Astyanax mexicanus: one gene and its partners. The protein of the gene in region 1 interacts with the protein of each later gene in a biochemical or structural test. Links are inferred from orthologs where the notes say so. Each region holds a gene or a part of one and is shown on either strand. Other genes may lie near its edges. The genes, in order: histone-lysine N-methyltransferase EHMT2-like, lig1 and cbx3a.

Region 1 (7,037 bases):
TAATTGATTCAGTCATTTCCATATATATCATTCTGTACCCAACACAAATAATTCAGTATCTACTACAAAAATGACTCAGTAAATCCTACAAATGATTCAGTCGCTACCATATGTATAATTATGTACCCAACACAAATGATTCAGTATCTACTACAATATGATTCAGTTAGCTGTATAAATGATTCAGTATCTACTACAATATGATTCAGTTAGCTGTATAAATGATTCGGTATCTACTACAATATGATTCAGTTAGCTGTATAAATGATTCAGTAACTACCATATATTATTTTGTACCCAACACAAGTGATTCAGTATCTACCTTAAATGATATATATATTTAATTCTACTATAAATATATATATATATAAATATATATATATATATTTAATTCTGTATCTACTATAAATTATTCAGTATCTACTACAAGATGATTCAGTAACTACCTTATATAATTCTGCACCTAATACAAATGATTCAGTATCTGCTACGTATGATTTAGCATCTAATAGACATAATTCAGTTCCTGCTATAAATGACACATTACCTAAAAATAATTCAGTCACTGTTATAACAGTAATATGTAATTGCTAATGGTCACCTGTGTGATGGGGGGTCTGTTCATGGTCTTGCGGGCGCGGTGGACTTTAGGGGGTGGGGCTGAGGAAGAGGAGGATGAAGAAAGAGAGGAAGAGGAGGAGGAGGAGGAGGGGTTTTTACTGCCCGGCCCACATACACTCATCTTCGCTCGACCGGAGGATGCAGACGGAGACGAGGGAGGAGCGGACTTAGCAGCATGACCTGAGAGAGAGAGAGAGAGAGAGAGAGAGATCAGCGGTCACATGATCATGGTGGTGTAATTTGATTGGACACAGCAGAGCTTGCGTGTTAACTGCAGGTTTACCTGTATATGGTTTGGTGAAGCTGGACGTCGCTGTGTTCTCACTGCTCCCCCCATCTTTCTCCTTCTCCTTTAGACTCTCTTTAAAGATAAAGGTAAATTAAGATAAGTCAGGAAACCAACTTTTATTGAGAGACTTTAGTTTAATGTGTAGAAAGTAAGAAGAGACAAATTTGGTGAGACAGACTCCTTAACATGTGTTTCTTTAAATTTTACCAAATTAAAAACCTCTGGAATATAATCAAGAGGAAGATGGATGATCACAAACCATCAAACCACCAAACTGAACTGCTTGAATTTTTGCACCAGGAGTAAAGCAGCATAAAGTTATCCAAAAGCAGTGTGTAAGACTGGTGGAGGAGAACATGATGCCAAGATGCATGAAAACTGAGATTAAAAACCACCAGGGTTATTCCACCAAATATTGATTTCTGAACTCTTAAAACTTTATGAATATGAACTTGTTTTCTTTGCATTATTTAAGGTCTGAAAGCTCTGTATCTTTTTTTTTTTGTTATTTCAGACATTTCTCATTTTCTATAAAATAAATGCTCTAAATGAGAATATTTTTATTTGGAATTTGGGAGAAATGTTGTCTGTAGTTTATAGAATAAAACAACAATGTTCATTTTACTCAAACATAAACCTATAAATAGCAAAATCAGAGAAACAAATTTTCTTATCGTATCTTCCCCTCTGATTTTAGCTGACTCCACCCTAAGATCAAATTTGAAAACAGGTTAAAAAAATAATGTGAAGAGTAGTTTGGGAGGAGCACTTGGTGATGTATGGGTTTAGGGGCGGAGCAGAGTGGAGAGCTGACTGGCCTAAGCAGTACTTCTCAGTGAGACGCGTTTACCACAATAAAAGAGCTTTTTTTTAAAGGTTAGAAAGTGTTTATTAAAATTTAAGCAGGACTGGTGTATTTCATTACTTCTAAGGAACACGTAGGTTAGAGTGTGTATGAAGGAGAGGAGCATCACCTGAGGGTTTGGAGTGCGCTGGTCGGCTCTCAGATGGACTCTGGACAATAAAACAACAGAATAAATCACATTACAGACCTTTACAGGTACTTTCCAACATTATTTTTTAAATTAGGCTGGTTTTAAACGTTGTCAGAAGAGGTTCAGCATGAAGTGCTGTAAGATTTTGACTTTAGACTTGATAATAAAACACAGTGGATCAACACCAGCAGATATCAGACATGACTCTCCAAACCATCACTGATTGGTGGAAACTTCACACTAGACCTCGAGCAGTTTGGACTGTGTGTCTCTCCACTCTTCCTCCAGACTCTGATACCTTGATTTACTTTAAATGAAATGTAAAATTTACTGATGATCAGTGGTGGTTTGGAGAGGCATGTCTGTCATCTGCTGGTGTTGATCCACTGTGTTTTATTATCAAGTCTAAAGTCAGTGCAGTTTTGTTTTCCCACAAAATCTTACAGCACTTCATATCTTACAGCTTCCCTCTGCTGAAAACAACTTTTATAGAGATGCAGATTTCATTTTCCAGCAGGATTTGGCACACTGCCCACACTGCCAAAAGTACAATTGGTCTTATTTTGGGTTTTCATTGGCTGTAAGCCATAATCATCAACAATAAAATAAATAAACTCTTAAAATAGACCACTCTGTTTAATACATCTATATAATATTATGAGTTTCACATAAATACATGTCATAATGTTATAATGAATAATAACAGTAGGTAACTGAATGCTCTATTCACTGCTGTATTATTAGATTATCTACCAGACTGCAGTAATAACACAGTGTTCACAGTTTATATACCTATAAAAACACTATAAACACATATTTACCCCCAGCTACAGTGTTAATAAGTATAATGTTGTGTATTTATCAGTGTATAAATCAGTGTGTGATTAATAATAAAGATAAAGAGCTGTAGATCATTATTTATCCTCTAAACCCGGGATTAATCCGCTCACACTCAGTTAAACTGGTTAAATCAATCTTTAATCTGCTGTTAATCTGAACTCACCTCCTCCATGTCTCTCTCTCTCTCTGCAGCTTTTCTTTATTAAACACAGAAAAACTCAAACAGTAAAGAGATAAAAACACACCGGAGCGGGGCTCCGTTCAAAATGGCTACAGGAGAAACGCGCCTTCAAAATAAAAGTCCCCTTTCGCAAACCGTTTACTTACCCGCCGCGACTCCCACAGACTGAGACAGTTAGCTGAACATTAGCTGAACATTTAACTAACATTCAAGCAACGTTTAACTAACCTTCAATTAGCAATCGCTTCATTCATGTTTAAATAGTGCTCACCTGACATTCAAGCAACGTTCACCTAACACTCACCTGACATTCAATCAACGTTTAACAAACGTTCACCTAACATTCAAGCAATGTTCAACTAACAATTACTTAATATTTTATCAGGTTCAAAAAATATTTAATCAGGTTAAAAAAAAAATTCAAGTAACACTTACTAACGCTTGCTTAACATTTAGGCAACGTCTAACTAACGCTCACTTAACATTTACGCAATGTTTAACTAACAATTACTTAATATTTAATCAGGTTTAAATAGTGCTCACCTAACATTCAAGAAATATTCAACTAACACGCACCTAACATTCAAGCAAGGTTTAACTAATGCTCACTTTACATTTAGGCAACGTCTAACTAACGTTCACTTAACATTTAGGCAACGTCTAACGCTCACTTAACATTTAGGCAACGTCTGACTAACGCTCACTTAACATTTACACAATGTTTAACTAACAATTACTTAATATTTAATCAGGTTTAAAAAGTGCTCACTTAACATTCAAGTAACACTAACGCTTGCTTAACATTTAGGCAACGTCTAACTAACGCTCGCTTAACATTTACGCAATGTTTAACTAACAATTACTTAATATTTAATCAGGTTTAAATAGTGCTCACCTAACATTCAAGAAATATTCAACTAACACGCACCTAACATTCAAGCAAGGTTTAACTAATGCTCACTTTACATTTAGGCAACGTCTAACTAACGTTCACTTAACATTTAGGCAACGTCTAACGCTCACTTAACATTTAGGCAACGTCTGACTAACGCTCACTTAACATTTACACAATGTTTAACTAACAATTACTTAATATTTAATCAGGTTTAAAAAGTGCTCACTTAACATTCAAGTAACACTAACGCTTGCTTAACATTTAGGCAACGTCTAACTAACGCTCACTTAACATTTACGCAATGTTTAACTAACAATTACTTAATATTTAATCAGGTTTAAATAGTGCTCACCTAACATTCAAGAAATATTCAACTAACACGCACCTAACATTCAAGCAAGGTTTAACTAATGCTCACTTTACATTTAGGCAACGTCTAACTAACGTTCACTTAACATTTAGGCAACGTCTAACGCTCACTTAACATTTAGGCAACGTCTGACTAACGCTCACTTAACATTTACACAATGTTTAACTAACAATTACTTAATATTTAATCAGGTTTAAAAAGTGCTCACTTAACATTCAAGTAACACTAACGCTCACTTAACATTTACACAATGTTCAACTAACAATTACTTAATATTTAATCAGGTTTAAATAGTGCTCACCTAACATTCAAGAAATATTCAACTAACACGCACCTAACATTCAAGCACGGTTTAACTAATGCTCACTTAACATTTAAGCAATGTTCACCTAACGTTCAAGCAACAGGGTAGTTTATTTGCTAACTAACGAAATCAGACATTGTCTGAGTAACAAAAATCTAAAAATTCAGTCCAGCTCCTTGGTTCAATAACAAAATCAGACTAATTCATTGTAAATAACAAAATCAGACCATCTTATTGGCTAAAAAACAAAATCAATCTAGCCAATTGCCTATTTATTGAATAACATAATCAGACTAGTTTATTTGCTGAAAAAACAAACAAGCAAGTAAGCTCATTGGCTTTAATATCAAAATTAGACTAGCTTATTGGCTAAGTAGCAAAATCAGACACTGGCGTAACACAAAAAAGCTCATTGGCTCATAACAAGATTCAGACCAATGCATTAGCTGATTAACAAAATCAGACTAGCTTATTGGCTGAATAACAAAATCAGACCAGCTTATTGGCTGAATAACAAAATCAAAGCAGCTTATTGGCTAAATAACAAAATCAGACCAGCCTATTGGCTGAAAAACAAAATCAGACCAGTTTTTTGCTAAATAACAAAATCATAGCTTATTGGCCAAATAACAAAAACTGGGGAGCTTATAGACTGAATAACAAAATCAGACTATCGTATTGGCTGAATAAGAACATCAGAGCAGCCTATTGGCTGAATAACAAAATCAGACTAGCTTTTTGCTAAATAACAAAATCCGACCAGCTTATTGGCTGATTAACAAAATAAGACTAGCTTATTGGCTAAATAACAAAATCAGACTAGCTCATTGGCTGAAAAATGAAATTAAACATGGGCTAACAACTATTAATTAGACATGCTAACAAAATTAGACCACATTATTTAGAGAATAAAATACAACTTAGGCTTGCTTTTTAGCTGAATAACAAAATAAGACTTTGGTTTCAGAACAAAAGTAGACCAGCTGTGATGGGAAGGTTTTATTCAGAGTCTTCGTTAGCTTCCTCAGATTCACTGCTAGAACTGGAGTCCTCTAGGATCAGGTAATTCTGGAAAAACAGAAAGCATGAATTTTCAGAGGCATAATCAGATTAGTTTGAACAGGACTGGGTTCATGGAAATGGGTGTAGATCATCGTGTACAGTGCCATCTTTAACCTCACCTTATTGTGAGCGTCGCCACCACAAGCGTCTGGGAAACACTGTGTGAACTTGACCTCCTTCAGAGGTACAACACTGGTTCCCTTTTCCCCCGATGGTGTTGTTTCAGCCGTCCGACACATTTTCCATAATCTGAAGGAAGGTTTTTCCTTCTTTTCCTTCTCTAATCCGATAGCCGTACGTGCCGCCAGTATGTGGCAGCAGTGGTGAGCCAAGAAGCAAGAGCATCGTTCTTCTGGGTAGACTTTAACAACGTATTTCTGGCCCCTCCACCCCGTTACAAAGAACGACTTTATGCTGGGCTCAAGACTTATTTTGTTCTTCTCAATGATCAGTTCTGCCATTGGTCGCATTGATGCCAGGTCGTACCCTCCTGATGCCTCCTGCTCTGGCATGGTGTCACTGTCATCAGCCAAACTGTTCTTAAAGAAGTGGACAATCTCTTTCGGGGTCATAACAAACTCTGGGAAGTCAACATCATCCATGTCGGTAGCACTTCTGGAGCTTGCGGGAGTGGGTTTGTAGGGCCCCATGTTGCAACTGCTTCTCAAGACTTCGTTTAGGAAGTACATCGAGATCTGGAATGTCGTGAATACAGTCGTTTCCAGTCTGAGTTTCCTATGCCTCATCTGTATCAGCATCATACTGAGTTCTTGAAAAGTACTAGTGATCTTTTCATCTTCTGGTAGGCCAAGTGCTTTGAGGGTAAACCTGGCAGACCTTTTTGTCAGGGCCTCCAGGTGCATCTGGAAGTACTCAAGGAAGGCAGTGCTCCAGGTAACAGAAAAGTAACCAAGTTTAACCCTCCATTGTTCTTCAGTTTCCGAACAAATAAGACTCCTCAAATTGTTCATGTACCCTTGCACATTGTCCTCAATGTCATCCTCTTCACAAAACATCACTTTGTATCTCAGATGGTACAGAACTTGACGGAAGCTGTTGAATGCAGAAGCGTTGGGTAAGACATTTTTGACAGAGTTCTCAACGACAGCCTCGCAATCAGTGCAAATCACAAATCGATTGGAGTTCAGATCTGGCAGAAGACATAGAAGTTCCTCTAGAAATATGGTGTGAGCTCTCTCTTTCTGGCACTGGTGAATGTGGAAAGCTAACGGAAAAGTTGGGCTCTCCTCAAAATCATTGTGGCAAAAAAGAAGAGGCGTCACGTAGAAGTTCTCCAGGTTAAATGTGCTGTTGTAGTAGAGGATATGCGTTACGCATGGATCTGAATTCTTCAGCATCACTTGGAACTGCTCGGTCATCTCGGGCAATGCAGCGACGATAATCACATCTGGGTAAACACTCATATGAACAACGAAGTCCTTCAGCTCCCTGCACATCATTTGAGTCGCCATTATGTCTT
Region 2 (7,155 bases), on another chromosome or scaffold:
ACTTTTTATTTATACTTAATGTATTACTTATGCTTGCTATCAGTTTACAAACTCCTCACAAACTGTTTTCCAACTGAAAGATAAGGAGCTGTACAGGGCTAGGATAGTAATATTAGCTTAGCAAACTCACAATTCTGGATTTATGTTGTCTCAATATGGTTTAAAATTCAAAGTAGTACTGTTAAAATGCTGCAGGGCACATTATAGCAAACACTGTATGGCGTCTGTCCATTGAAGCATGCTAGCAGTTTGTGATGAGCTTTGCCCTATATTGTGAATGTTGTTCTAAAATGTAAAACCAAATATTTAACTTGATATTAGCTAGTGTAATACACTTTTCTCCAGTACCAGTACCACAGCTGCAGAACCTATGTAGCAGAAACACTGCAGTAACTATGAAAAAGAAATCCAATCCAACGTGCAGACAGACACTCACCAGTCCTGCGTTTTGGAATTCCAGAGGGTGAGGTGGAATTTGGAGTAGCAGGAGTTCCAGGTGTGCCTGAAGCTGCAGATAATGCTGGAGTTGCCGGCGTGGCGGGGGTTGTTGGGGTAGCGAGGGGCTTTGGTGAAAGTGGACTGGCACTGACTTTAACATCGGCCTATCAGTGAAAGAAAACAAAAAAGAATGGAAGTTTGTTATTAATAACAAAGCACTAAAGCAGTGAATAAACAAAAAGAAATGTAATTTAATAACATTAACTACCTTTGTTTAGTACTTATCCCAATTACAACTTAACATAACTTTGCATGCAAGACAACACAATTCAGTTACTCACTCTTGAAACCAAAGAACTATATTTAGACCTATTTAGGTTACCAACTCACCATGCAAGACAAACATGAGCTCAACCATTTTTACCTCAATATTACCTATTTTGAGACACTCAGCATTGAGACCTTAACAATTAAAAGTTCATTGCTCAATGTTATAAAAACCCTAAGGGTTTTTCTGCAGTCCCATTAAACACACTGTAATCAGGCGAGTAAAACGCGCTGTACCTTCTCCTTGTCCGGCTTGGTAGCTTGTTCTTCCTCCTGCTTGGAGACCTCGTTCTTTACTGTCGGCTGTTCTTCATCATCACTGTCGATGATCGCTCGAGCTCGTTTGCTTGTCTTCTTTACAGGAGAATCACAGTCTCTCTCACCATTCTGAGTTTTCAGTGGGCTTTTGATTGGTCTGGGTGGCAAGAAAGAGTATAAAAAACAGCAGATGGCGAATATTTACGCAAAGCCTATATTAGTATAGAGATATTTAAAAAAAAAAAAGGCTGGGCAACTTTACTTACTCAGACTTCACTTTAGCTGGTTCGTCTTTCTTCTCCTTACATTTCATCGGCTGGAAAAAAGACCTGAGGAAGCAGATGCACGAATTAAATGAAGCGACATAGTAGCATAACAATAATTTAAGATACAAGGGGAAGATTTCCAGAAAGGGCATTAAGTCTAGTCTGCATTTTCAACAGAAAGCAAAACATAGTCTTAATCGATGTCCTGGAAACCGACCCAAAGTGTTCTGAAAGCTATGTACATTTACTAGTAATCTGAAACCTACAGATCTATATAGGAGGACAAGCCCTTAATGTAGTTTTAGTTATATATAAAAAAAAGCCAGTCAAATCACAGATCATGCAATATCTTTAATTAATGTGTAAAAAAAATAAATTGGTGCCTGATTTAAAAGGAAAATTTGCAATGTTCTCATAATTAATGGCATATCTACCAAAGGAAAATGATGGCCAATATAATTTTTCACTTCAATTGTGAACATAAAAAGTATACCCAATCCTAATCTTAAATGATAGTTCACGAAAGTTCATTATAGTTTTTTCTTTTTTACAAGAAGGTATTAATAATAAATGTATTACATTAATTCAGGACCTTTCTAATGTACTTTTAACCAGCTTAGAATAATAAGTATTCAACACATGAGCAGTTTTGGGTGACTAATACAATGACTGATCTGAAATGAGTAGAAACTGCATTACAGAAATCTGTGAGCTTTTAGCAGTAAAAACAGGATTCAGGGTTTGTACCGATGGTGCTATTTTAGGCTAAAGCATCAGGTCATGTTGCAGATGTTCTGATTTTGAGTTGTTTGAGTAGCAGAAATTAATTCTGACCAGTACAAATGCGAATAAAATCTTTCTAATTCAGTTCTGACAAGTTTGTTGTAAATTAATGAGAATTTCACACGTGCCGTTTTCGGGCACAAGAATACAAATTACATCTGAAATTGGAGTAAAAACTGCATTACGGAAAGCCAGAAAGTGTTCACTAGTAAAACGCAATTACAGAGTGTAATTTATGTGGCTAAAACTCGTTTCAGGCTAAATCAGCCTGCAGTTCACTAACAGCACAGCTCTGAGGATCTGTGAGAGAGTCTGTTCCTCGGTTTCAGCGAGATTAAACTCAGGCTTTAACCAGGTAAAATACTCTGTGAGGGTAAACTGACACTAGTTAGCTAGGATAGCATAGCTTAGCTTAGCTTAGCTTAGCGTAGATAGTTAAATAACTTAGCTAACCAACGTTAGTTATCTTTGTTCCCCAACGGAAAATGCTGCTTCAATTCTCCATTATCAGGAGGTTCAGTTAGCCACGGCTAAACCCAGCTAGCATTATCTCAACTTTTCTACCTACAGTACAGTTATTTAGGTAAATTAACATAGCCAGATATTTGTATAGCTAAGCTAACTTAACTATTAGACTAGCCTAGCTGGAGTTTAATATTCACAGCAGGGCTAACTCAGCTACTCTATCAGTGAAAAGTTCAGCTAAGCTAACTACAGAGTTTATCTCCGGACACTGAGTTATATTAGAGTTATATTGGAGTTATATTAGAGTTATATTAGACGAGGACACTCACGCGATGCTACGCTGCATGGTGACTCCTGAATTAAATTCGATTTAAGATCAGAATTCAGATAATCCGTTTCTACAGCAGCTCCACTGTTTCCATCCGCACAATCTCCCGCGCGCTCAAACCCCGACCATTCGGCGCCAAACTGACGTCAACTGAATCACTCTTTGAACCGGTTCTTTTTCGTGAGCCGAGGGAATCAGCGATTCAGTGATTCAGTAAACACTGGCAGAAGCTTTCAGTACCAGTGCTTGGTACTTTACTGTCCTTCCCGTTATTAATGAAATGTACAATGTATATTGATTAAAATAATTGAAAAAGTTCTGTGATTCTGATATTAAAATGATGGAGGATATTTCTTTTGGTAGCTAGTATTTCTTCTCAAACATTCTTCTTTCAAGGGTGAAATTTTAAAGAATATTGACAAAGTATTTTTTTTATGATTTATGTACCATACATTCAGTTTAATGTATTATTCTTTTATTTTATGTGATTTATGTTGTTTAACCAAAAATGGCAAATTTTGATAATTTGATATTACAAAAAAAAATTGGAAGTGCGTAAGCTCTCAGGTTATCCACTTCACTTAAAAGCCTTGGCTACAGTACACAGCCCTCCCAAGTCTCCCGGAAATTGCGGGAGTCTACCGCATATCATTTACGGCTCCTTGATGCTCGGAATCAGTCTGTTTTCATTGGCGGCCAATGGAGTCGGTTCAGACTTGAGTTGGTGAAGAGTTTACACTACCAGATTACCCCAAAAATTGACTTGAAAACATCAAACATTTGATTTTATGTGACTGAAGTCGGTTTTTGAAGCTAAAAATCGAGTCTCAGGCCATTAAACAGTACAAGACGTTCACTCTGACTGCAAACTAGAGCCAACTAGTACAGACTCGATCATCACAATTCAAAATCAGGGGGTAAAATTGTGCTGAAATGTCATTTAGTGCGATTTCAGTGTTACACAGGTCCAAGTTTATGCTTATTTTCATTTGACTTTAAAAAGTCAGAACTGTGGGGTGCTTCTGCAAAAAAAGGGTTTTAGGAAACTAACTAAATAAATTGATGAAATGTCTAAATTATTTTAAAAACATCTGTGAAACATAAAAGTCTAAAATTTAAAACATTAATGAGCAAATATAAATAAAACATGCAATCATGTTCGCTGTTCTGAGTCTACAGCACTTTATACTGTAGTGATCGACACAAACTCCAGCTGTTTATTCACTCCTTTATACTCTATCTTTATTATTTTATTTTCACTCTTGTAGTAAAAAGCTTGTAATGTTTATAAAAACGTGTAGAAAGATGGCTAGACGTTCAATGAGTCTTTGAGTCACTGATTCACTAAAAAGAGTCAAAGGAGTCGATTCGGAATCAGAATCGAACTTTCTATAATAAACGCGCGCCCCACGGCCTGGGAGGGCGCGCGAGCTGCAGAGTGCGCCGCGTGCTGGACTGGAGGAGAATAATCATAAATAAAGCATTGGGATTTATTTCTTATGATTCATGTGTAATAATGAACTGATTCACTGTAATAATGACAAATGCAAAAAAATATTCAAAATATATATATATTTTTAATTTCCTTAAAAATATCAACATACGATTGTGTGTGTTTTAAGTAAAACAGTACTTAAACACACATTTATTTATTTATTTATTTACGTGCCATTCCACCGAATAAGTGCCATTTCCTTGTTGTAACTCTTCCAATTTTTTTTTTTTTTTTGAAACTATGAATCTAATAACATATATTTAACTATTCAAAACATGTACTTGTCAAACTCAGGCAGCTTTACTTGTTTTTTTTTTACAAGGTTTCTAATCCGAAGATGGTCATAAAACTAATGTGACATTTAAAAAGCATATGTAAAAGCAAGTCCACTCAATTCCATTGAGTTTATTTGAAGAAAGTCTTTATTTTAAAGAAATAGTTGACAGCATGTTCAAAAATTGATATTTAAGACGAAAAAACAGTCCTGTTACTGTCACTCACTCCTGTTACTAGAACTTCTCCATATATATATATATATATATATATATATATATATATATATATATAGAAAAAACAAATGAGGGATCTTCAGAATAACCAGCTGATGTCACTTCCTGTTGTAAATGATAAGGGGTAATGTGTTACGGTAACAGGACTGAGTGAAACCCAGGGACACAACAAAATGTTTAACTTAAATATTATGGATTTATTATGAAAAAAAACACATTTTAAAAAGATGATTATTTTAAAATGCAAAATAATCATATCTCTGAAGGATTTTAATAATTATATTTCATGGTAAAATTTATAGTTAGAGAGTGGGGACAGGTAACAAATGCTATTTTTTCAGTGTTCTAAATAGTTTTTATTAAAGTTATTTTGTGTGCACATTTATATATGTAATTGCATGGGAACAGAAAAAACACAGATTCAGTGGAATGGCTCTTAATCTAATTCACATACTGTATGTATTTAGTCCTTAATTATTGACTCACATCTTTTTTTGCCTCTTGTTCCACTAGGAGGCATAGGTTCCAAACCTTTGGCCCAAAGTGAAACTGCGCATGTACATCTCTGTCAGAGTTTAACAGAAGTGTAGAAAGTATTCACATTCATGACTGAGGTAAAAGTGTAGATACTAGGGGTTAGAAATACTTAAGTATCTGGGGTATCAACAGCTTTTTACTCAAAAATAAAGTGTAAAAGTACTGGTTTCAAAACTACTTCAAGTATAAAAGTAAAAGTACAGTGGGTTGGAAATGTTGCATCCTTATTTGGAGAATGTAGTATGCAAAACCTTTTTTTTTAAATACAACATTATTTTGTACTACAATAAAAGTCCTCAGTTCAAGAGAAAACAGTCAGTCCTGAGAAACTGCTACTCAATATTCAGTGGCCTCCTCCTTCTCCTCCTCCTCGGTAAAACCTTCAACTTCTTCTTTGACTTCACATTTTTGGAAGCGGATGAGAACAGATAGCCTCACTCTACATTCAAAACAGAAAATAAAACAAAATTATGCTAAGAGACACAGAATCACAGAATAACTAACATCAGCTAATATAAAACAAAATCCTTTCAGTGATTTTAGTGATTTTTTTTACTGAGTGAACAATATAAAGGAGACATAATAATTAATGAATTAATAAACTAAACCTAGTAAAACAGAGTCCCTGTTGAGTACTATGCTCTATATTTGCGAAGCCTGTGTTTGTTTGGTGTGTTTAATGGGTTTCCTTAACAAAAAAAATGCTTCAATGTCTTTTAATCGTATAAGCATTTTAACTGCTGTTAAAATAAGAAACAACAACACAAGTTTTATTCAGGTCTAACTTGAGCATTATACAGTTTCTACAATTTCGCACATTTAAAAGCATAACAAATATATAGTGTTATTTGAATTTCTCTGAAATCATGCATTTGGCAATCCGATGGAAGGATCTGGTTCATATTATCCATGAATAATAATTGACACTAATAATTTTCACATTCTGTTTACATGTATATAAGTATTGCATAATCTCACTACGTGCAGATTTTCAATTCCAGGAAAGTTCACAAATTTCCACGAAGGCATTCTTACCTGCATTGCTGTCAGTTGATGTAACACCAGCAGCATATCACTTCTCTAATCATACTTTCACTTTTGTTTTGGCGTGTTGTCTCATGTTACAGAATTGTTTTAATCAATTAAAGTCAATTAAAGAACGAATAAAAGGAATGAAAACATTACTGTAACTGTAATCTGATTACTTCCTGTCTCTGTTTCTATTAGAACTGGTTTGGAAATGATGTAAATGAACTGTATTTGTTTTGTAGCTACAGTATATTATTGTTTGTGGCAGTGAGAAATGCCAATGGCAGCACCGTAAAAAGTGCTTTCATTTCATCTTTGACGGGAACAGCGTTCTAATGACCAATCACATGATGTGCCACACCAAGCTGCCTTCTGTACTGATTCATTATTTAACCCTTTCAGGCTCCCAGTGTCAGATTAAATCCTCCCCCTAAGATTTGAGACAACACTTCAAGCACCCGATACAGATATAGCTAACTATAGCAGTGGAGCGCTAAAGTTCAGCAACCTAGCTGCTGCTGCTGGTTAACTAGTTAACTTTAGGGCTTTATCATATGTTTTCAGAAGGGGGGGATTGTGATGGTGAGCTGAAATTAGCTTTGATTAGCTTTTATTTTACGTTTTCTTTTTTTTATTTCTACATTCCGCCTTAAATGATGCAGCCCCTGCCGTCTGTTGCACTATTTAAGGTGGAACAGGAATGTTAGCTAGCAAGCTAGC
Region 3 (7,070 bases), on another chromosome or scaffold:
AAGAGTGGTGATCTGTTCTACCTCATACCGTAACCATTAGATCCCCAAAGTTAAAAAAATGAATGAAATATGGTGAGAATTACCCCCAATCCCCAACAAACACACCCTTTAATCCTTAAACTGTTCCTTAAATAATTCCTCTGAAATTGCGGTGTTCTGATTTGTGCAAGGATTCCTATTTTCCGATTAATAAAGGAAGATAAATTAATAACTTTATGCTTCTTGTTGTTGTCTAAGTCTCCTCGTGTATGTGTGGGTTTCCTCTGTGGACTATGGTTTCTTCCCACAGTCCAAAAATATGGAGATCAGGTAAATTAGATACTCTATATTGTCCTGATGTGTATGTGTGGGTGTATGTATGACTTTGCCGAGATATGGGTGGTGTTTTCCGGTTGAGAGTACGCTCTGTGTGATTGGCTGATGCTTGTCACTGGTGTGTATGTGGTTGAGTGCAATACATGATTCTAAAGCATCATTGGGTGTCTAGAAAAGAGCTATATACATGTAGTTTCATTAAATTAAACACTTTTTAGGCATATGAATGACCAAAGCACAGCTTGGGTCCTCCAATAAATAATATACTTCTCATATTTCTCATTATAATAAATAGATTTTCAATAAAAAGGGTAGCTAGGCAAATGTACGTTTTAAACTGGAGATATGTGGCTAAAGTAGATAACTGTGGATTATGTAATGCTGTAACTGTAACTAAGTCACCCTGTTACTACACTTTTAAAAAATATATAGTTTTATCTAGAAGAAATCAAATTAACCAATTGGTTTTGCTTTCAAACAAAAAACAAGGCAAGAAATGTGGAGTAAGATGTCAAATCTGAATGAACTTGATATAAAACATGATTGTTCATGCTATATGGTTCATATAGTTGTGAAAAAAACAAGCAATTTTCAGGTCTAGGTAAGTTTTGGAAAAAATAAGTGCTATATAAGTGCAAGAGGGATGCTGGACGACTGAACAGGCTGGTGAGGAAAGCTGGTTCTGTGCTGGGATTAGAGCTGGAGTCCTTAACACCACTGGCAGAGAGGAGAGCCCTCAGCAAGCTGCTGAACATCATGGACAATGTTCACCACCCTCTGCACAGCACCATCACCAGGCAGAGGAGCTCATTCAGCGGCAGACTGCTGTCCCAGTCCTGCTCCACAGACAGACTCCGAAAGTCTTTTGTCCCTCAGGCCATAAGACTTTTCAACTCCTCTCAGCACAGCAAACTGAAGACTCTGTGACACCTTTTCTTTCCAGCAATTCTGGCCACACCATGGACATACCCCCATCTATGGTCACACTATCATGCTGATGCCCATAACACTATTTTTATAGTTCTACCCTATTTTGCACTAGTAGTTCATTCACTAGTTCATTCATCTACTGTTTACGTATCTTTTGCACTGCTAAATTTAAATTATTATATAACTGTGTATTTGCACTTTCTGTATGGCGGACATCAGTTATCCTTATCCTTACTTTATGCACATCAACTGGTGTTCGCTGTCTATTGTGTTCAACTGCACTACCTCCATTTTACATCACACACACTAAAGACTGTACTTTTATAATTTCATTTTATTTTTTATTTTGTTGTATTTATATGTATCATTTATATATATATATATATATATATATATATATATATATATATTTTTTTTTTTTTCTTTTTATCTTTTTGTAACTTTGTGTACTATACACACCTGCTGCTGGATGTCAAGAATTTCCCCTCGGGGATCAATAAAGTATCTATCTATCTATATATCTATATATATTAAGTACTATACTGTACTATGCTGCTAAAGTAAGTATAGTTGGTGTTCTATTTATTTTGTGCACAGGTGTCAAGTAATAAAGTACAAATACTTTGTTTTCTTTCTTCAAAAGTACAATTTTGGTTATTGGTTATCTACACTGAAAATATTTTTCAGATGACTTTTTAGTTCTACTCCTTACATTTTATAAACAGCCTCGTTACTCCTATTTCATTTCAGCTCATTTTTATTCCTTCTTCTCGTCCTTCGATAAAACCCCTATCCAGATAAATCTCTCCATCCAGATAGAGTGAATCTGATTGTGATTGGATGTAGAGAAGTATAAACATATACCATTCCGACTTGGTTTATACTGTGATCCATCACACTCCAGCAAGAACATAACAGACGTATGTAGTCTAGTATGAAGATGATCCGTGCAGAGACTCAAGAGAACTCCAGATAAACTCCAGTCCAACTAAACTTCTTTAATATATTTACATTCATTTACAATGGGAATAAATGCAGCTGAAACACTAGAGAACAGCCTAGAGCATCACAAATTATATTATCAACATTCATATTTTAATATTTTAACATTATAGTCATTAGGGGTGTGCGATATGTCTCTAAAATAAAATCACGATATTTCAGGGTATTTTTGCGATAACAATATACTTGGCGATATAGCAAAACTAAAATAATTCATTCATTTCAGGAATATAGTATAATAATATAACAGTATAATCATAATGTGGCAAAATAAATAATATAGCATAAAATAATATAATGCAGCAAAAAATATTGTAGAATACAGAACAGCCCTATTATCATGATATGGATTTTTAATATCATGATATTTCTGTCACAATATATTGTATACGATATAATATTGCCCACCCCTAATAGTTATTATGGCTTTTAGAAAAATGTGTTTTTATTATACTTTAAGTAGTTTTGAAACCAGTACTTTTACTTAAAGAGTAAAAAGCTTGAGTTGATACTTCAACTTCTACAGAAGTATTTTAAACACTAGTATATATACCTTTTACTCTACCTGAGTAATGCATGTGTATGGAAATACTTTTCACACTTTTGGTCGCAGCACTACTTACCCAGTGTTGCCAACTCCTCAGTAAGGAAAGTAGCTATTGGCTGTCCTAAAAGTCGCTAGAAGTCGCTAAATGACGTCATCGCCTAATTTGCATAATACATGTTTTTGAAGCTGTAAAGTATTAGGGTTGTGGGAGAGAAAAAAGTGAGTAAAAACACCATAAATGTGTTAGAAATGTTATAAAGGAACAACTTCTGTTGTTTTTTTAAATAGGACGTCACTTTTTTTTACATTAACTTCATTTTTACGTGAATTACATAAATTAGTTTTTTGCCATGTTCTTAAATGTTATTAAAAGAGCAACCGGAACTGTTATTCTATGTTTTTTTTACTTTTTTTTTAGTTTGTTTGTTTTATTTTTATTTTTTATTTTTTTTACATTTTCTTAAGTTTTCTTTATTTTTAAATATATCATAGACAAATTGTTCAATAGTTCAATAGATATTTAGCTTTGTTTTATTTATTATTTTTTTTTAGCTTTGTATTTAGCTTTGTTTTATTTTATTTGTATTTTTTTACGTTTTCTTAAGTTTCCTTTATTTTTAAACCTATCATAGACAAATTGTTCAATGGTTCAATAGATGTTTAGCTTTTTATAAAGAGTGTAACTGTGGAGGAGGTGAGTGACAGGCTGTGTGGTGAATGAGGTGAGTGAATGACTGAGACAGTGTGAGTTAAATTAAGGGATTTCTGTTCGTGTCACACTGAAGACACAGTTATATTTATACTTCTGCTCTGTAAATACAGAGCGGGGTCAGTCAGCGGCGGCTGTGGGCACGCGCGATTCATTTACAGTGTGTTCGTGGAGCGGTGTGTGTGTGTGGGTCTGCACTGTGAGTGGTGTGGGGCGGGGCTCCCGGCAGCGCCCGCTGCAGCGCGGAGGACAGGAACTGAAGAGCGCGTGTTCATCTCAGAGTCGCCAAAAGTCTCCAATAACACCACAAAAACTCGCTAGATTTGTCGCTAGTCGCTTTTTTTTTTTTACAAAAAAAGTCGCTAGAGGGTCTGAAAAGTCGCTAAATATAGCGACAAAGTCGCTAAGTTGGCAACACTGTACTTACCAAGAGAAAAACCCAGGGAGTTTAAATCCCACGCCACGCCTCTTTTACCCCTTCGCAGGAAGCCATTGGCTGTGTGTGAGCACGTAGGGGCGTGGCTGCGCTGAGGGGGCGTGGCTTGACGCACATGTTTCTTCTGCAGCCGCTTAGAGGAGCTGCTGGTTGGCGCGCTGCCAGGTGAAGCCCTGCTGAAGAAGTCCACCGTCCTGCAGCCTCCTGCTCGCTCTGTCTTTACCGGTTTCTGCACAAAGTCAAAGTAAGTCCGTCGGTACGCGCCGTGCACGAGCGTTAGCGCGCGGTGCGTCCGCTTTAGCGTCGATTATTGATCGGTTTGCGCTCTGGTTCGTTCGCTAGCCGGCTCGTGCGCTTTTGTTCGCTTGTTTTTTCGCGCGCGCGCACGCTGCACACGCGGCGTTTTCCCGCTGCAGGGGGGCCGCGCGCTTTCAGTGTTTTTAGCGTTAACTAACTGCGGCGTTTTAACGCGGTAATAACCAGCGTTTTAACGATATTAGCACTGTGTTACTTAGTTAGTAGGTTAACTACGTTATTTTGGTTATATCTGCGTTTAAATGCATGAACTATGAACTAGCCGGCTAGCTAAGTACTTAGCTTGGTTTGAGACTAGTAACTTTAGCTAGATTTAGCTAGATTCATTTAAGTTATAGCTAAATATTGTTTTAAAATGACGCTGTACGACTAAACTAGTGTTTGTAAAGTCAGTTAAACACTACATAACATTAGTTCATTCTTAGTAAGCTAATGTATATGTTTATATTTGGCTGACTCCGTTTTTAGTGGCTAGGTTAACTAGGTAGTAAGCATTGTTGCACATACAGGCCTGTTCTTATTTGGATGTGGTTAACCAACTAAGTTATCTAACCCAGTTCTTTAGCTAGCTGAACAGTTAAGTTAACTAAGGATACAGTTTAATGAGCCAGTTGGCTTTGTTTATACTGGCATTTAAATGTATCAGCCGCCCATAAACCAGCCGGTTAGCTTTGGTAGCCTAGCTAGCTTGCTTACCTACGTTAGAAACTTTAGTAAGACCAGTACATTTCAATAGCTTTACTATTAACACTATTATCAAGTAGTTTTAAACCCAGTTATCATCACATGACGTTAGTTAATACATAGATAGCAAAAAAAAATAGCCACATATATTTAACTTTACTCTTGTAGTACACAAACTAGCTAATAAGCATGGTTACACATACAGGCCTGCTCGTATTTGGATGGTATCTACCTAATTAGGGTTATTTAACTTGGTCTAATTCTTGTAGATAAAGCAGTAAAATATTGTCTATAGCTAGCTTTAATTATTTGGCCTTAATTTCTTAGGCATTTAAGTGGATCAGCAGCACATTAACATTTAAGAGGGCTATCTAGCCTATTAGCTGGGTAGTTTAGCATACTCTTTTAAATTAAACCCGTAACTTGTATTACCGTGCTAGCTAGTTGTTTAACTTGGCTTTTAGGATAGTAGCTAAGCATTTGTAGTGGTAAATATTTAAGTCATATTAACTGCACATAACTGTATTTTAAGTTAATTTAAGATTGGATAAGGTAGCTAGCTAATACGCTGTGTTGCACATACAGGCCTACTCGTATTTGGATGCGTTAGCATTTGCTAACTAGGCGGCTAACGTGGTCTAGTAGTCGTCTAGCTAAATTTTTCTTTTAAGTATATATTTTTAAGTATATTTATTTCTAACTAACACAATTTAATTCAGTATTAGCCTTTACAAGCTAAGTTACGTTAATAATGAAAAATCCTTTTTAAAATGAGCTTCGGCCTACTCCTAGCTAGTTAGCATTAGCCTGTTAACTCGGTTAGCAAGCTAGCGAGCACAAAGCATCGTCGTTTTGTGGTTAAAATCTCGTGTGTGACTGTTAAACTCTGTCTACTTTGTAGGTAGAACATACATTCGTGATTTTATGCGTAATTCAGATTTTGTTGCCTTAATTCTTTAATGACCATCTCTGTTTTCGCCCTCTCCGTCGTAGCCAGCTAACGCTAATTAGCTTCAGTTGTTAGCTAAGCTAACGTTAACTAGCTGCAAAGCCAGCGTTTGGAAAGCTGAGGCGCCGGGTACAGAAACCGTGCAACAAATGCACCATTAAATACAGGATATTTTTATTTATAGTTAGTTAGTTTAGGTATTAAAACACACATTTATACATTGATGGCAGATAAATAGCAAGTTAGTCTTTTACAATGGCATAACAGATCAGAAGCAGCGTTTAAAGCTCCTGTATATAACAATGAAGTTGTGATATGTTACAAGATAACAATAAAAAATAAAAAAATAACAATCGTTATATTATTAGATTAAGGTCATAATAGTACGAAAGAATAAAGTCGCAGTATTTTGAGGAAAATATACTTCTAACTGCTTGGGCTGCTAGTTAAAAACAGAGCAAGTAGGAGGGAAATTAGCATTTTCTGCTCATGATCTGTTACAAGGCTGCTGTGATTATCATCAGTTCTCTATATTTCTAAACTGCTGCTGATTAATGCTCTAGTGTTACAATTAGATAGTACATTGTCCTGTGGTGGTGTCCCGATTTCCCCACCGTGATTGTATTTATGTTCCTTGGGTCTCAAAAAAGTCGTAAATAAAGGAAAAAAAAACTTTTACTGATGAGGAATGACTGGTACTGCTGTAAGCATTTAAGGTGGAACGAAAATCTGAAATGTTTTTGGTAATTTCCCATTTTTGTTTGCTCATCAAATAAACACACGATACAAGCCGTTGTTTGTTTTAGAATGAATGAATTAAATATATATTTTTTTAATTGTCCGACTTTAGATTCTCAGTTGAAAATCAAAGGAACAAATAGGTTTTAACAAAAGCAGGATAAATGGTAGAGATGCTAGAGTGGTGTAAAAAAAAACACAACAACCCAGTATTGGAGCAGCTCTGGAGCAGTGAAATTTTTCTTTTCTGGCATAATGAAGCTCTGTCCAAGCGAGCTGTCTGCAATATCTTATCGTATACAATGATCTTGAAAGCAGTTTTGTGGTATTTTGTTCTCATTTTGTTGCTTACTGTGTTTACTTTAAATTGTTTTGCAATTTACATGCACTAAATGTTACACTTGAGGTTTTTATCACTTTATTTTTGATGTATACTCTAATGAAT

Evidence for each region.
Region 2: of the proteins of histone-lysine N-methyltransferase EHMT2-like (region 1) and lig1, one has a biochemical effect on the other in vitro, tested with the Homo sapiens proteins (3 studies listed by BioGRID). The link is inferred for Astyanax mexicanus from reciprocal best matches to the Homo sapiens genes EHMT2 and LIG1.
Region 3: the proteins of histone-lysine N-methyltransferase EHMT2-like (region 1) and cbx3a are reported together in a solved structure, tested with the Homo sapiens proteins (2 studies listed by BioGRID, with this or other methods). The link is inferred for Astyanax mexicanus from reciprocal best matches to the Homo sapiens genes EHMT2 and CBX3.

What each region holds. Positions count from the first base shown.
Region 1 is NW_026040041.1:5,516,384-5,523,420, forward strand, and holds the start of histone-lysine N-methyltransferase EHMT2-like, read right to left. Parts: upstream 3,014-7,037; 5' UTR 2,918-3,013; coding exon 2,909-2,917; intron 1,925-2,908; coding exon 1,885-1,924; intron 983-1,884; coding exon 905-982; intron 802-904; coding exon 602-801; intron 1-601. Other genes in the region: uncharacterized protein LOC111190472, read right to left, coding at 5,495-5,563, 5,677-7,037. UniProt on the Homo sapiens protein: Histone methyltransferase that specifically mono- and dimethylates 'Lys-9' of histone H3 (H3K9me1 and H3K9me2, respectively) in euchromatin.
Region 2 is NC_064411.1:574,293-581,447, forward strand, and holds the start of lig1 (DNA ligase 1), read right to left. Parts: upstream 3,018-7,155; 5' UTR 2,884-3,017; coding exon 2,867-2,883; intron 1,353-2,866; coding exon 1,290-1,352; intron 1,181-1,289; coding exon 1,003-1,180; intron 603-1,002; coding exon 437-602; intron 1-436.
Region 3 is NC_064410.1:62,356,832-62,363,901, forward strand, and holds the start of cbx3a (chromobox protein homolog 3a), read left to right. Parts: upstream 1-4,035; 5' UTR 4,036-4,183; intron 4,184-7,070.